2 linked regions of the Caenorhabditis elegans genome follow. The protein of the gene in region 2 interacts with the protein of the main gene of each other region in a pairwise test. Each region holds a gene or a part of one and is shown on either strand. Other genes may lie near its edges.

Evidence for each region. The genes of interacting proteins can lie anywhere in the genome.
Region 1: the proteins of numr-1 (region 2) and F08G2.5 interact in a two-hybrid assay, tested with the Caenorhabditis elegans proteins (one large-scale study listed by BioGRID).

What each region holds. Positions count from the first base shown.
Region 1 is NC_003280.10:13,832,553-13,835,751, forward strand, and holds F08G2.5 (WW domain-containing protein), read right to left. Parts: upstream 1,080-3,199; coding exon 543-1,079; downstream 1-542. Other genes in the region: ins-37 (INSulin related), read right to left, coding at 2,560-2,897, 2,950-3,109.
Region 2 is NC_003281.10:7,362,068-7,365,389, reverse strand, and holds numr-1 (PB1 domain-containing protein), read left to right. Parts: upstream 1-1,925; coding exon 1,926-2,771; downstream 2,772-3,322. Other genes in the region: numr-2 (PB1 domain-containing protein), read right to left, coding at 160-1,005.

The DNA.
Region 1 (3,199 bases), on a different chromosome or scaffold from region 2:
TTTTCCGGAAATTTCAATTCCGGCAATTTGGCGATTTGTCAGAAATTTTCAATTTTGCCGGTTCACCGATTTTCCGGAAATTTCAATTCCGGCAATTTTCTGATTAGTCGGAAATTTCAATCCTCCGGCAATTTTGCCGATTTGCCAGAAATTTCAATTCAGGCAATTTTCCAATTTGTCGGAAGTTTCAATTCCCGCAATTTTCCGATTTGCCGGAAATTTTAATTCCGGCAACAGTTTTATATGACCTCTTTCTTATTATTTGGTTTTTTAATTTAATAATAAAGAACAAAACACAAATTCGAAAAATACAAATTATTTATTTTTACACAACAATAAATAGACAACACACTTAAATGGTCATATCCCGGTTGTTTTAAGATTTATCGAAAAACTACCAACAAACAAAATATTGCTGATGCCTTTTTCAATAATTTTGTAGTTGAACACTTTTCGATATCACTTATTTAAACCAAGATATAGGATACCAAAAATGAAATAGAATACAATTAAACTAAAAACAAATATTTACATTTAAAAATTCAAGCTCCATTCGAATAAGTTTCTCTCGGCGAGTTCTCACAATCATAGATCCCGCGACGACGATTGCGGTATGGTTCCCACGTTCCATTTCTTCCATACGGATGCCATCGTCTCCCATGACGCTGCTCCCACTCGGCAAGCCCATCTCGACAACGGCATGGCGAGGAGTCACTGGAATTGGTTGATGATTTAGAACTCACCGAGTCATCGGAAGAAGAGGACGAGGAAGAATCATCAGAGTCATCAGAAGAGTCGTCAGACGAAGTGTTCGGAGGTTTCACCGACTTTCTCTTCGATCTCTGTTTACGAGCTCGTCGAGCTCGTGGAGCTGGAGATTCAGAGATCGGAAGTTCCGAAGAACGTGGATATTGACACCCTTGGGTGTCTCTACGATCTTGAGAAGTTAACGTGGAAACCGTGGAGTCGGAATATCTATCTTCATCGTCCTTATCTGAAAGTTCAGATTCTGAACTATCAGATGACGAGTCGAAGAATCCGTCTCCAAGAGGAAGTGGACGAGTGCTGAGCTTTCTCATTGTAAATGAGATGCTCTTCAAGGTGAGAGGTGCTGGTTTTATAGGTGGGTTTTGTTGACGAATAGTTTCGAATTATTTCGAAGAGTTTCGAAATTAGTCATGACTTTGATAAGGTGGGCAAATATTGATGACGATATGTGTGTAGTATTGCCAAATTTGAGGAGAACTCCTTGCCGTTTGATCTCCGAAAATTGGGGTCACACAGAACATTTCTGGAAGTACATAGAAGTCTATGTTTCCCGCAATTTTCAGAGGTCAAAAAGTAAGGAATTTGCAAATTTTTTTGCAAATTTTTTTTCCGGCAAATCGGAAAATTGCCGGAATTGAAAATTTCCGGCAAATCGGCAAATTGCGGAATTGAAATTTTCCGGCAAACTTGAAAGTTACCGGAATTGGACATTTTCGGCATACCGGCAAAGTGACAAAATTTAAAATTTCCGACAAATCATCAAATTGCCGGAATTGGAGTTGTGGCATACCGGCAAATTGACGGAATTGAAATTTCCGGTAAATCGTAAAATTGCCGGAATTGAAATTTCCGGCAAAACTGGGGCAATTACATAACTCTAGAAGGAGAACATTTTTGAATTCATAGCTCTTATATCTCTATAGTAAAATTTATGCTATAAATTTATATAAAAAACGTCCTAAAATTGTATTTTGCGCAGCAGGACCCATCTTTGTCGTGCTTTAAAGTTTCAAAAATAGAAACTCATTATTGACACACGAATTTATTTTTAAAAAAATACAAATAATAATAAATTTTATATTTAATTTGCATACTACAAAAACAAGTAATTTTTATCAAAAATTGCAAAATTCCGGTAGTCAAGTTAGTTCGTATGGGGTGGTTGAGAATTGATAACCCATACGATCCGGACCGCAGGAATTCGAAAACTGTTGGGGAGGAGGAAGTATATATACTAGAGGCAATGCAAGCGGTGGACGTTTCTCGAGGAATGGTGGTGGGTTTCTCTGGGTCTCTAGTAGTGTACAAAATGCGCTCCACCGCAATTCGATAATTAGGAGACTGTGTCAAACAACTTTATGTAAGGTGTAATTTTTTGGGTAAAAAATTGACTAATGATTTGAAAAAATCTATTTTAAAAAATCTGCATTTCAAGCCTATATATACGAAATCTTATTTTGTTTCTGTAATTTTTATTATTTTTCGAATTTAATTGAAAAATGCCTAACTAAAATTAAACGTTTCTTTCTAATCAACTTGCCCACCAAATTCCAACAATGCAAAACAGGAAGTCAAGTTGTTGCCGATGGGGTGGTTTCTTCAGATAACCCACCGACTCCGGACCTATGCCTGATAAAAAACCTTCTATCAACAGAGTATATATACCAACGGTCTGTTAAGTGGACGACGGTGTGTTGATAAGTGGCGTTTCAATGGAGCGCACTTGCAATAGTTGTGAAATCAGTTAAAATTTTGCGCTAGTAATTCAAATCCACATATATTATACATACATTACTTTATTTTTACACAATTAATACAGGCATAGTTTTGCACTCGATTGAACTTGTCCGGGATTCTTCTAGGCCGCCGCCGGCGCCACCCCCTTGTTCGGGCACATTGCTTCAATGATATTTTCGTCGGTACATTGACTGTCTTCACAACAATATCATGTCCACAGCTCTTTTTAAAACCCTCCGCCGCAAAGCTGACCATATCGATTTCTTCGGCTTCCTCCTCAAACTTTACTCCATATCCTTGCGAAGCGTACTTGCACAGAGACTCCTTGATGTCCAGATCGGTACACTCGTCCTTGCAGCACATCTTCCAAAGATCCACATCACTGCTGCGATCTGAAAAGCGATGATTCGGTTTTAACCTGCTAAGAATGATATAATAACATACCTTTCTTCCCACTGCAAGCTTCAAAAGCGCGATGAACAAGATGGGATCCACAGGAACGATAGGGAAGGAAGGCCGCATTTGGGACCGGGTGAATTGGATTGGCATTGGTGAGCACGGTGAGCATAGCAATGCTCAAGGCAATTGGCAGGAAAGCAGCCATGGTGTTCAATCGTCTATCCGGTTCGGGATGAGAGTTGAGGTATGATTCTTATTTTGTTTTCGATTTTGAGTGGGGGGGGGGGAGGGAAAT
Region 2 (3,322 bases):
TTTATATGAAAAATAAGTTTATTTTTTAACGTTTATTATAAAAAACAGTTTTTAAAATTATTCAAAAAAGTACATGAAAATAAGTAGTGGAATGAATTGAGAACATTGAATACTACTTTTGAAAGAATAATTATAAAATAAGAATGAAAAATGAGATAATTAACATCGACCAAATCTGCGTTCAAATGGATGTTGTCTCTTGAATCCATGATGTCCGAATCCATGACCAAATCCATGATGATGACCACCGAATCCATGGAATGCTCCAAATGGATGATGATGTCTATGGAAATTGAATCCATGATGATCCATTCCTCGTCTTCCAAATGGTCTTCCGAATCCTCCAGTTGGACCTTCAAATTCTTCTCTTCCACAAGGTGTTCCAAATGATCCTAATGGATGTCTTTTGAATTCTTCTCCTTCACGACATGGTCTTCTTCCAATTGGTGATGCTGATCTTGCACGTCTTCCACCAAAACAGTGACGTCTTTTGAATTCTGGATGTCCATGGGATTCTTGGAATCTTTTCCACATGAGCTTCTTCATTTGATGTCTCTTGTGATGATCATGGAAATTTGAACGACTTCTGCTTCGAGATCTTGAACGATCAAATCCACGACTTCTGGATCTATCACGTCTTCCACAATGACGACGATGTGGAGCTACTTCAGGAGCATCAGCAATAATGACATCTTCATCTCCAGAATCAGAAGAATCAGATGAAGAATCCGATGAATCAGAATCAGCAATCACAAAAATAGAAGCAGAATCTCTGTTAGCCATCTTTTTCAGAACTCTCTGAGCATTCTGAGACATTGAAATCAAATTTCCTTTGTCATTTTTCCAGAAAACAACATTGAAATTGAGTCCGAGTTCTCCCAATTTCAACTCTAATTTTTCAATTAGTTGTTGCAAATTGTAATATTCAATTGAAATTTGTTCAGTTGCTCCAGGAGCAAAATAAAGTTTGAAAAGAATTGAATTGGTTGCAGTTGTAGTTTTCATTTTTCAGAATGATTTTCTCTATTCTAAATTTCCAATTTTTATACCTCCATTCTTAAGCTCCGCCTACCAGCTGTCCCTGAACTATTTCGAAATTGTTTAATGTGTCTGTGTCTATCGAAATAATACGAAAATGTACTGTCATCACTGTCTGCGTCTCGAATTGGCGCTGATCTTTTGATATTCATTGATGAATGAGACTAGAGACATGGATGTATTGCACAAACCACAGAAAGAGCACAAAGTCTTTGAATTTCAGATGATCTGAAATACATCGACATCAATAGAGATTTACTTCTTAGGTGACATAATGTTTGGTGATTTCATTAGAAATATTGAACATTCATCTAACAAATTGGGATCTGCAAACCCAATTTTTCAGAAAACGTGTTCATTTCAAAAAGCGATCGAAAAATAGTTTTTTCCGTAACCCGGACTGAGTGCCTGCCTATGTTTTCAATCTGATTAGGGTCTGAAATCTGGAGAGCGAAATTTTTACAGAAAAAAACTATTTTTCGATCACTTTTTGAAATGAACACGTTTTCTGAAACATTGAGTTTGCAGATCCCAATTCGTTAGATGAATGTTCAATATTTCTAATGAAATCACCAAGCATAATGTCACCTAAGAAGTAAATCTCTATTGATGTCGATGTATTTCAGATCATCTGAAATTCAAAGACTTTGTGCTCTTTCTGTGGTTTGTGCAATACATCCATGTCTCTAGTCTCATTCATCAATGAATATCAAAAGATCAGCGCCAATTCGAGACGCAGACAGTGATGACAGTACATTTTCGTATTATTTCGATAGACACAGACACATTAAACAATTTCGAAATAGTTCAGGGACAGCTGGTAGGCGGAGCTTAAGAATGGAGGTATAAAAATTGGAAATTTAGAATAGAGAAAATCATTCTGAAAAATGAAAACTACAACTGCAACCAATTCAATTCTTTTCAAACTTTATTTTGCTCCTGGAGCAACTGAACAAATTTCAATTGAATATTACAATTTGCAACAACTAATTGAAAAATTAGAGTTGAAATTGGGAGAACTCGGACTCAATTTCAATGTTGTTTTCTGGAAAAATGACAAAGGAAATTTGATTTCAATGTCTCAGAATGCTCAGAGAGTTCTGAAAAAGATGGCTAACAGAGATTCTGCTTCTATTTTTGTGATTGCTGATTCTGATTCATCGGATTCTTCATCTGATTCTTCTGATTCTGGAGATGAAGATGTCATTATTGCTGATGCTCCTGAAGTAGCTCCACATCGTCGTCATTGTGGAAGACGTGATAGATCCAGAAGTCGTGGATTTGATCGTTCAAGATCTCGAAGCAGAAGTCGTTCAAATTTCCATGATCATCACAAGAGACATCAAATGAAGAAGCTCATGTGGAAAAGATTCCAAGAATCCCATGGACATCCAGAATTCAAAAGACGTCACTGTTTTGGTGGAAGACGTGCAAGATCAGCATCACCAATTGGAAGAAGACCATGTCGTGAAGGAGAAGAATTCAAAAGACATCCATTAGGATCATTTGGAACACCTTGTGGAAGAGAAGAATTTGAAGGTCCAACTGGAGGATTCGGAAGACCATTTGGAAGACGAGGAATGGATCATCATGGATTCAATTTCCATAGACATCATCATCCATTTGGAGCATTCCATGGATTCGGTGGTCATCATCATGGATTTGGTCATGGATTCGGACATCATGGATTCAAGAGACAACATCCATTTGAACGCAGATTTGGTCGATGTTAATTATCTCATTTTTCATTCTTATTTTATAATTATTCTTTCAAAAGTAGTATTCAATGTTCTCAATTCATTCCACTACTTATTTTCATGTACTTTTTTGAATAATTTTAAAAACTGTTTTTTATAATAAACGTTAAAAAATAAACTTATTTTTCATATAAATAGAATATGTGACTACATTATATATACATTGGAAGCTCTCCATAATGCGATAAGCATCTTTCATGATAGACACTTTTCAAAATATTAAAGTAACCTTCTGCAGATTCTCTTCCCACAACATTGCCAGGATTTCATGTCAATTTTTAAGCTCCAGTCATTTTTGAAGTCAATCTCCATCAAAATTTGTTTTCATTTACGTACGAATAATACTCAAACTATTTAGTGGAAATTAAATGTTTGCATTTCGTTTCAAAAATTAATTGTTCTCCAGCTATTTAGATCACTATTTCACGTCATGTTGCCATTTAATTTTGTGTGTTTTCTGTATTAAATAATTAAAAATTTTATCATAAAAGCATCTAAATTTCTAAATAAACTTTGATGAACCTTAT